2 linked regions of the Neodiprion lecontei genome follow. Each later gene encodes a partner of the first gene's protein in a complex. Links are inferred from orthologs where the notes say so. Each region holds a gene or a part of one and is shown on either strand. Other genes may lie near its edges.

What was found.
Region 2: the proteins of integrator complex subunit 9 (region 1) and integrator complex subunit 11 are in contact, whole or in part, in a cryo-EM structure (PDB 7SN8), measured with the Drosophila melanogaster proteins. The link is inferred for Neodiprion lecontei from reciprocal best matches to the Drosophila melanogaster genes IntS9 and IntS11. Residues at the interface, in NP_648838.3 of Drosophila melanogaster: Glu128, Tyr198, Asp199, Glu200, Lys201, His230, Asp333, Ser334, Ala337, Tyr338, Asn340, Ile341, Glu344, Gln351, Val354, Tyr355, Leu356, Pro357, Asp358, Asp359, Pro360, Arg509, Lys510, Leu511, Asp512, Arg513, Ile514, Tyr515, Ile516, Ser518; in NP_651721.1 of Drosophila melanogaster: His94, Lys97, Ala98, Pro135, Thr137, His139, Gln140, Ser141, Glu149, Lys151, Lys274, Thr277, Tyr278, Lys280, Met281, Phe282, Ile283, Thr284, Trp285, Phe294, Val295, His296, Val450, Lys451, Ile452, Pro453, Val454, Asp455, Ala456, Ser457.

Annotation. Positions count from the first base shown.
Region 1 is NC_060264.1:21,327,748-21,333,022, reverse strand, and holds the start of integrator complex subunit 9, read left to right. Parts: upstream 1-1,998; 5' UTR 1,999-2,121; coding exon 2,122-2,130; intron 2,131-2,396; exon of another isoform or gene 2,397-2,504; coding exon 2,505-2,699; intron 2,700-3,044; exon of another isoform or gene 3,045-3,079; intron 3,080-4,333; coding exon 4,334-4,738; intron 4,739-5,275. UniProt on the Drosophila melanogaster protein: Component of the integrator complex, a multiprotein complex that terminates RNA polymerase II (Pol II) transcription in the promoter-proximal region of genes.
Region 2 is NC_060266.1:4,404,981-4,410,164, forward strand, and holds integrator complex subunit 11, read left to right. Parts: upstream 1-2,013; 5' UTR 2,014-2,222; exon of another isoform or gene 2,223-2,330; 5' UTR 2,331-2,353; coding exon 2,354-3,850; intron 3,851-4,053; coding exon 4,054-4,344; 3' UTR 4,345-4,527; downstream 4,528-5,184. UniProt on the Drosophila melanogaster protein: RNA endonuclease component of the integrator complex, a multiprotein complex that terminates RNA polymerase II (Pol II) transcription in the promoter-proximal region of genes.

The sequences.
Region 1 (5,275 bases):
ACGACGACGACGATATATCTTCTACCACCACGTGAAATATTACAAACAACAATATCATTGAATTTTAATGACAAGAAAAACAAATATTGTCAAACTTCTCGAAATAGTTGATGAAAAAAAACCGTCTCATTGGCAACTTTATTATTCCGACTTGCATAACGTAATTATTTACTACCTATAATAACTATTATTATTATTATTAATAATACTATATAGCAACAGAAACTTCACCCCTCCTCCTGTTTTCACAACAAACAAAACTAGAAACGAAAAACTTATTAATTATTTAGCTCGGCTTAATTATATTTTCTATCTAATTATTTACGGAAATAAAATCTTATATCGTGCGATATTCGAGAAAATAATGTTATTATTTTGAATTTTTTTTTTTTTTTTAACTAAACTTTGTACGTTGTGTCGCAATTAATGATTTTATTTTTCTCAACGCGAGAATCACGATGCATAATTTTATTTATATTTAAATGTACTTATTCTTATTATTTTAGCCTAATTTTGCTAAGTGAGTATTTAATCAATTTCCGTGGTAGTTGATAAAGAACTTATTTCGCTCAACAAATTGATGTAGGAGATGATTGAATATATATTTTCTAGAGTTGAGGTTTCAAATGGAGGGCTTTCTTGGAAATGAAATCTTGATTTGCTTAATTATATATTATAAATGAAAATTGGTTGAACGGTTGATTTTCAAAAAAAAAAAACGGACATACCATCGATGAGAATAAGAAAATGCAAAAGTGGGAATTGCATCGTGCTGCAGAATTGGATGAATACGAAATACAGCAAGGTAAGTGCGGTCTTAATCAATTCTAGTATAGTCTTCGATTAGAATTATTGCAAATAATAAGTCTTTACAAATTCAATATTTATATAAATTTACGGTTTTGTATGTAATGTACTTATATTTTATTCCTGACATTCTAATTATGTTCAAATGTAGTCCAGTTGATGGGGAGTAAAACAAACCATTGCACTACAAATGGTGGGATAGTAGTGATTGTCGTGTATGTATTTTCGGCCTTTGAGGAGAAGGGTCCGTGCGATTCGCCATCCTGGATTAGTTGCAAAAAATTGGTCTTGTTATAATAATTCCTAAGCGGTTGATCCTGCAACAAAAAGTTATTTAAAAAAAAAAACAAATTTTTGTACGTTTGATCCGAAATAGCGGATCGCGTGACCCCCTTCCCCCTACTCAGGAACACACAGTTACAATTATTTTGTAATCAAACAAATAAATTCTCATAAGTACAACGCTATCGAACTCACTCTCGCATGAAATGGATGAATAATGATCACCTAGGAGTGTAATTCAGAAAGGGATAAGAGAATCAGGCATTCGCAATTCCTAGAACTTTGACGTCACCGAGCGACTGCTGAACGCTAGATGATCCGCCAAACCGGAGCGAGCGGCAGATCTCGTCCGACCAGTGCGCCGGGTTCACTTTAGCTACACTAGTCAATTCTAGCGTCTTTTGAAATACGACAGAATTTGATGGAATACGGTGCTGACACACGGTGCTAAATGTGGTTCGCAAAGTGTCCCTCAATTCTGCCCCCAATTTCCACCACTAGTGGCGCTAGTAGTTAGTTGCCCAGCATGTTTAAAACACCGCCAAAACGAGCTGAAAAAATACAAGGTTAATCTATTTTTTAGCAAAAAATCTTTAGTCTCCGAATCAATTTGTATGACCCTTTTTTGACTAATTGGACCCCCAGAACACAGAAAACCCACTAAAAAGAGCGTAGGACCAGCAGCAGAGAAATTGCCAAGGAAATTTTCGGTTTTTGACTGTAACTCTTGATCTACCCTGGAACCTGTCTGATATCCTCAGTCAACAGCTGTCTGGAAACGAAGTCTCATTTCAATGAGACCGTGCACGTGTGCCAATCAGAAAGCTTCAAGCGGAGAATCTTCCCTACCACTCGAATTAGGTTTCATGCTCTCTAGCTAGTCTTCTGCACCATGCTTGCACCGTGTGGCCGAGTAATACCGAGGATTCGGAAAGATTATGCCTTGTTTTGAGAGCAAGATTGTGTTTTGGGTTAGAAAAATTGAAAAAACACTGGGAGAAAATTACGATATCGTCAATTCAAATCATTCAAATGAAGCTGGTAAGAATGATTGTAATTGCGTTATATTTCCTTGAGAATAAATATGCCATTGGCATAGAATTTCAATCTTCGAACGGCTTTCTAAGCTTCTAATTGAACATAACCTGACCTAGCCCCATCAACTTACAAAAATCCAATTATTGAATTATGTATCACGTAAAAAGATATGATTTCGATAAATAAAATACATAATAAATTTCAGAAATTCAATTATGACAAATAAAATGGTTTTTCAGAAACAAATTTCACCAGATAATCATAAATACCTTTTTGTTCTTATATTTTCTTGACAAATCGATACAACTACTAAGTATTCATCATATGTTTTTCTTTCTACATTTATTTCAATTTTATTTATTTCATTATTATTCCAGTACTGCCTGTCCAGCGAGCCGACAAAGCCATGCCTGGTCTTGAGCTTCAAAGGCATAACGCTAATGTTGGACTGTGGTCTGAACATGCAGTCAATTTTGAATTTCATGCCGATGCCCATGGTGCCTAGTGCCAAGTTCAACTCCCTTTCCAGTTGGGTTCCCAGGGATAACAATCAGGATTGGCAAATTGAAGGGGTAAGACCTACATTATGTCACTGTCTCGATTTTCAATTACTATTATAGACTGATGAATAAGAATTCTCGACCTCGTATGTAATCTATTATAGAATCTTGGTGATCGGTCAATTAAGTAAACGTATTTTTAGTTAACGTTTCGACCCGGATATGGGCCCTCCTCAGAACGATTTATTTTTTTAACTGTCAAGAACAACAAAAAGATTTTTTATAAAATAAATAATAGTACTAGAAGTAATCAGACTTAAATATTGTAGATGTAATACTCTTAGAGCTATTATATATTATTGATTAGTAAGAACCTTTTGATTAATTGAAATAAGAATGTCTTTAAGTGTTATTTACCTTTTTTTTTTTTTGAATTAAGTAAGTGGACTAAGATGTAGTCGAATTCACAATTACAATTGGTGGAGACAGTGTTCTTTTGAGTGACGGTAGTCAATGTCAATCTTCAAGTTATTTTACATGTGGGAGTTAATAGTTGGAAGTCATTAGTTAAAAAGATGAAAGAACTATGTTTCTTCACAGTCAGTATGTCATTGTGTTAAAAGGTTTTTAAAGAAGGTCTTTTTAGCCATAAAATTAATTCGCAAGTGTCAAAGAAGTGGAGGTAGGCTCTTTATAATTAAGTTCCACATGTCTAACAAAAAATTATTGTTGGTTGAACCGATTGAGTCAACAGGTGAATAACGACTGATGGGAGAAAACAAATATAATCCAGAGTGAAGGTGAACCTATTATAAACAATTATACAGAAAAAGGAAAGGACTGTGTAATGTGGACAAAAAAAATTTTTTTTGTATGTAGTAAAGGTTAAACAATATTTGTTGTGTGGGCGGAGATTAAAGGTTTGTAAATATTACTTAAATGCTCAACATCTTGTCTAAGATTAACAGAATTGGTGTGACCTACAATGTTGCACATTTCTAGTCAGTCTTCTAATAACAGTCTTCTATAATAATTGTGTTCTTCACAAAGGATGTTTGTGTTGTCGTAATTAAAAGTGTGTTGTTTATCGATACTACGTTTTGTTAGAGCTATGTGACGCTCTTCAATCTCATGTTGAAACTGTTGAAACTGAATTCCGATTTTTCCACCTTTCAATAAGTTTCCTTGGTTCTATTATTTGATGAGTAATGCTATCATTTTTCACAAAGAGAAAATTTGTAAATTTCTGAACACTTGTTATCAGAAGAATTGATAACTATCGAGAAACAAATGAGCCAAGGTGAAAGGTTGTTCGAGTACTCGTAACATCAAATTAAAAGTATGAAATAATCAATTACCCAAAATACTGCAGATTTATCAAGGATACCGATGAATCGATTAATTGAAACAATCGATTGAGTGAGAACATCGATGATTCCGTTAATCGAAAAACTGGTCAATCAAAAACATTGATGAATCGACTAATCTGAAAATCAATTAATTAAGAATACCGATGAATCATTTTATTAAAAAACCAATTCATTGAAAATTTCGGTTAGTCGATTAATCGTCAAACTGAATTGAAATATGAGTGAATCGATAAACAGGGAGAAGAATTAATCGAAATGTCAGAAGAATCGTTTGAAAATTCTAGACCCAGATGCAAAAATTGCATTAATGAAACTGGTATTTGAACACATTGCCAGGAGCTGAAAGAGAACTGTGGAAGAGTATTCGTTGATTCAACGCCAGAGTTTTGTCCACCGTTAGAGAAGATCACGGATTTTTCTGAGATTGATGCGATACTGATATCGAACTACACTTGCATGCTCGCACTGCCGTTCATAACAGAAGGTACGGGGTTCAAAGGTATAGTTTATGCGACGGAACCGACCCTGCAAATCGGTAGATTCTTCATGGAGGAGCTGGTTGAATTCATCGAGCAGACACCTAAGGCTATGCTGGCCAAACACTGGAAAGAAATGCTCCATGTTCTACCTCCGCCACTCGCCGATGCCATGAAACCCAAGTCTTGGAAGCACCTCTACTCTATGGCCGCTGTCAACTCTAGCCTTGCCCATATCCAGATGGTCGGTTACGATCAGAAACTGGTGAATATCAATCTATTTGTAGTCCATGGGACTGAATTAAAAGTTGGGAGCAGAGAAAAAACGTTTAGAAAATCTCCAGCAGTGTTGGTTGCACCAATAACGGTATCTACTACGTAATTGAAATGATTCCGGGCCGATTTGAATTGCACAAACTGGCATATCAACAATTTGCAAAAACGGTTTCATGATTAAGACGTTCAAGGTGCTCAAACTCTTGTGTTTTAGATCTGATCCTAATGTTTTTGGGTTGAGTTTATTCACTATAGAAATCTACGGTGATCCCTTAAAAAAAATATCGCTAATGGTTATCTCCAAAATCGATAAAAATAGATTTTTGTAAGTACGTTTCCTAAGATTTTCGTCCATAATTACATTTATGCGTTATAACTATTCTATATTATAAAATTTCTTGAATGTTTTTTAAACGAATTGTAAGGATCTGGTCAGTGAGTAAAATATCCTCAAAAACGTTAGAATCGCATTAAAAACAACATCAAAGTTCAAATATTTCGAACGTTCTATTGTAACATCTTTTTT
Region 2 (5,184 bases), on another chromosome or scaffold:
AGTTTGAAAAATTTCAGACAAAATATCATTACAATTGCCATGAAATATTAAACAAACGTTAAACTCACCGAGCACAAATCCTTGTCCTTCTCGTCCTCCTCCTCGTCTACCTCCAACTACTTCCAACCACCGCCAACCACCTCGTCTTGTAACTCGAATACTGATAAATGTTCTCAGTATTGTAAGACATCAAAAATATTGTATAAGGATTAATATAATTTTTTTACCGGCACATTTCACCAAGAAATTTATGAGAAAATTATAAAAAATGATTGCAATTTTATTAGCTATTGCTTTGATAGTACAAAACATGACGTTTTGAATAATAAAACTTGTAAACTCAAAAATTAGTCCGGAAGGTCAAAAGTCATCAGGTCAAGTACCTGGACAGCCAAAACTACGGAACGCTTGTTCTGGAAGTCGAGTTTCTGCAGGTAGTGGACCTTGAGCGCAAAAACTACGGAACGCGTGTCCTGAAAGTCGTGTTTCACCAGGTAGCGGACCTGGAGCAAAGAAATTACGGAGCGCTTGTCCTGGAGCTCGAGTTGCACCAGAAAGTGGACCCGGAGCGCAGGATTCAGGAGGTAGAGAACCAGTTACTCGAAATCTGCGGAGCGCGATTCTCATACGTCCGCTCTACCGCGCGGTTGTTTACAGACTGAGGAATTCGGTTAGCTGATTCTATATCGATGACGTCGAGAGAAACAAAATTTTCGGTTGCATCACTTTCTGAACGTCCGAACATCCAAACTTTGGTTTCGAACTTCAATACTATGCATGATGTATGGTGATGTATGATGTATGATGTACGATGATATGATATGATGTACGATTTTTGATTTTACATTTCAGACAAGAAATACGCACTTTATCTTTCCTGCCGATTCCAGACTCAAGCGGCTAGGCCCTTCGATGGTCAGCCGTTGACTGAGGATATGTTCTCCAGTTAACGGGTCAGCTAATAACGCTGTCATTCTGCGACAGTTGGAAGATAAAAATTTTTGCTTGTACCTTTCAAACGTGTGTTAAAATACACTCGAAGTTTTAAGAAGCTTCGTTCTATCTCTCCCCATCAAAAGAAGAAAAAAAAATCGCCGACAATCACCTTTTCAGGTCTTTAAATCAGGACACTGCGTTAAATACTGCCTAATATACGGAGCATCCATTTCACCTCGACCAAAATTAACGCATTCGTGATGTATTACAGTTACTCCGAATTTTATTCCATATGAACACTTTTCGAAAAACAATTGTGCTTCTCTACCCAACGTAGATACTTCACTTGCGACTAGCTAGAACGGCGTTTCTATTCTATACCTACGAAAATACAAGATCGAGAGAGCAAATGAAAAGTTGTTGAAATAATTGTGAATAATAATGTTATGGAATACATCGAGCGCTTGTCGAATAGAATCCCATTTCGAAATGAATAAGTCTTCTATTTTCGTATTATACCCGATTATTGTAGATAATCTAGTTTATCTAGTCTTCTAGAAAATTATAAAATTTATAGTATGCATCACGTATTAATCGTAAATGGATCATTTATATTAGTATCGTACGTGGACCGCATATACATATATACTTTTTGGTCTCTGCATCATTATTACATCTGATCTATTATTATTTGTGATCCATGTATACATTCTCCTCTCGGGTACCTATACTTTAATTAAATCACTGTTTTGCGATGAATTTTGGAAGAAATTTGTTCTCATTATTAATTTCCTGAATCGCCGACAAGCTGGTAAGTATACACAGGCCAAATACTGGCTTGGACTTACCATTGCGAAGACTGTGTTACTCGGAAGGCGAATGGGGTAAATGCAACCAGCAATCATGTCGAAATCGGTAACCCCCTGATGTTCTGCAATAAGTTCTCAACTCTACCATTGGCAGAGAGAAACCTCTATTGGAACATTTCAGGAGGCGCAAGCGCACAACGATTTTCGGTTGTCGTACCAAAGCCCATAGGGAAACTGTCTTTACATTCTTCAGTCAACGGTGAGTATCACTCTGGTGGTGATTTACCCATATGTAGTCATCTCGTAGTTGCACGATAATCCTAACCTAACCTAACCTAATCTTATCTTATGAAGATCTCTTTACTTATCATGTTACTTGACCTCCAAAATATGTCTATTATCTAAACTAATATGGCTAAAGCCTATAAATAATTAATATACACCAAACAAAGTGAATCAACGAAAATAAAATTGGAGGTTAGTAACGGCATCGCGATGTAAACACAACACGTTCGTACTTAAAGAAAATTATTAAATATTCGCAATTCCGACCTTTTCTATCTAGAAATTTACTCAAATCCACAGACACGATTTAATAATCACAAATAATGCCTGATATCAAAGTAACGCCTCTTGGCGCAGGCCAAGATGTGGGCAGGAGTTGTATTCTGGTTACCATGGGAGGTAAAAATATAATGCTGGACTGCGGTATGCATATGGGATTCAACGACGAGAGAAGGTTCCCGGACTTCTCATACATAGTGCCTGAAGGACCAGCCACTAACTACATAGACTGTGTCATCATCTCGCACTTTCACCTGGATCACTGTGGGGCGCTACCCTATTTCACAGAAATGGTGGGCTACACAGGTCCGATTTACATGACTCACCCGACCAAGGCGATCGCCCCAATTCTCTTAGAGGATATGCGCAAGGTAGCAGTGGAGCGAAAGGGTGAGAGCAACTTCTTCACCTCCCAAATGATCAAGGACTGCATGAAGAAGGTAGTCGCTGTTACGCTGCACCAGTCAGTCATGGTTGACCCTGAACTGGAGATAAAGGCTTACTATGCAGGGCATGTGCTGGGCGCTGCGATGTTCTGGGTTCGAGTAGGTTCGCAGTCCATTGTCTACACTGGTGACTACAACATGACTCCGGATCGGCATCTAGGAGCCGCCTGGATCGACAAATGCAGGCCAGATCTGCTTATATCGGAATCAACGTATGCCACCACCATCCGAGATTCGAAACGATGCAGAGAAAGAGACTTCTTGAAAAAGGTGCACGAGTGCATAGACAGAGGCGGCAAGGTTTTAATACCAGTATTTGCTCTTGGTCGCGCCCAGGAGCTCTGCATACTATTAGAAACTTACTGGGAGAGGATGAACTTGAAGGTGCCTGTGTACTTCGCCCTTGGTCTGACGGAGAAGGCCAACAATTACTACAAGATGTTCATTACATGGACCAACCAGAAGATAAAAAAGACGTTTGTTCAGAGGAACATGTTCGATTTCAAGCACATAAAGCCCTTTGACAAGTCCTACATCGATAATCCTGGCGCCATGGTGGTCTTCGCTACTCCTGGGATGCTGCATGCTGGACTGTCGTTGCAGATTTTCAAAAAGTGGGCACCCAACGAAGCCAATATGGTCATCATGCCGGGGTTCTGCGTCCAGGGAACTGTCGGCCACAAAGTTCTAAATGGCACTAAACGTATCGAGTTTGAAAACCGGCAGATCGTCGAGGTCAAAATGGCTGTGGAATATATGTCATTCTCAGCTCACGCTGATGCGAAAGGCATCATGCAGCTGATTCAATATTGCGAACCTAAGAACGTAATGCTCGTTCATGGTGAGGCTGCAAAAATGGAATTTCTGAAGGAGAAAATTAGGCAGGAGTTTGGTACCAGCTGCTACAATCCAGCCAATGGAGAAACGTGCGTTATTTACACTACTGCCAAAGTTCCCGTCGATGCCTCGCTAGCCCTTCTGAAAGCTGAGGCAAAGAGATACTCTGCTCTGCCTCCAGATCCAAAAAGAAGAAGGCTCCTACATAGCGTGTTAATGCTGAGGGAAGACGGCGTTTGTCTAGTTGATGCTGACGAGGTAATACACTTTGATATCCATCATAAGTCATCTCACAAGGAATTTTTATATTTTCCTTTATGATGCATTACATCAGTCATGATTTGAATACAGTTTTCAAACATTTTTCAAAATGTGTAATATAAATGGTTGCACATTTTCAACCTCAACAAAGTGGGCGAAAATCAATAGTAACTTTGAATCACATTCAAATTGATTTCCAGGTTGCCAGGGCAGCAGGAATCACAAGGCATGTAGTAAGATTCACGTCTACAGTACAAATAAGGGATCCAGGTCCTGCCCACGCGACAACGCTCAAGCTTTTGCAACCATTAACGGAAAGATTAGTAGGATGGACGGTACAACTCACTGATGGTGCGATATCAGTAGAATCAGTATTGGTTAAAGTCGAAGGAGGTGAAGATGAATCCAAGAGCGTGTATGTTTCGTGGACGAATCAAGACGAAGATTTGGGAAGCTATATTCTGGGCTTCTTGCAAACAATGCTCAACTGAAATCTTTCAATCAAATTTCTATGAAAGATTTTTATACACAGGATTTTGTATAAAACTTGTGCGTGTGCACAAACATATAGATATATAGGATTATTGACTGATTGGTACTTGTAAAAATTCATTGCAGAGATACGTCAACCAATCACCCCAAATTCGTCTTCAATAAAATTCATTGATTTATAAGAAGTGTATTTTATAATTGGTCGTATTTTGACTAAGAACCAAGACGAGCAGTTTCCATATAATTTCTCTGATGTACATATCATTCCATTGTATGATAATGATGATTTGGTGAAAAAAATGGTAATAACTTGATAAAGCACTACCTTTGCAGCATGGTTTACCGAGTCATATTTTTTTATGTTAGCTCTGTACATAAATCCAAATAAATTCAATAATTTATTTGCCTTAATATAATGTTTCCTTGATTTTAAAAAGAGTAAAAACTATTGCTTAAATCACTTAAAATAGATCTTAAATAGATTTCTCAACTACTGACCCTTTTCGAATACAATATTTTAATTTGACGGAAAATTAAAAATTATCAATTTTCTATTCTTTCGAAACGTGACAACTTTCAGCAGTAATATTGAATGTATAATATTCGAAAAGTGAAAGCTCAATAATTGTGGCATCCACCTTAAGCATTACATTGCTACATTGAGTACTTGATATCAACAGGTTCTTAATCTTCGATTTACAATGACGGATTTGACAATTTACGCAAAATAAGTCATTAGATCGAATCTCGTAAAAATGTCCGGTTCGGTTACCTGAAAAATTTATAAATCTTACTTAATAGTGGACAGCGACAATAACAAACCACGAAGAATTAATTTT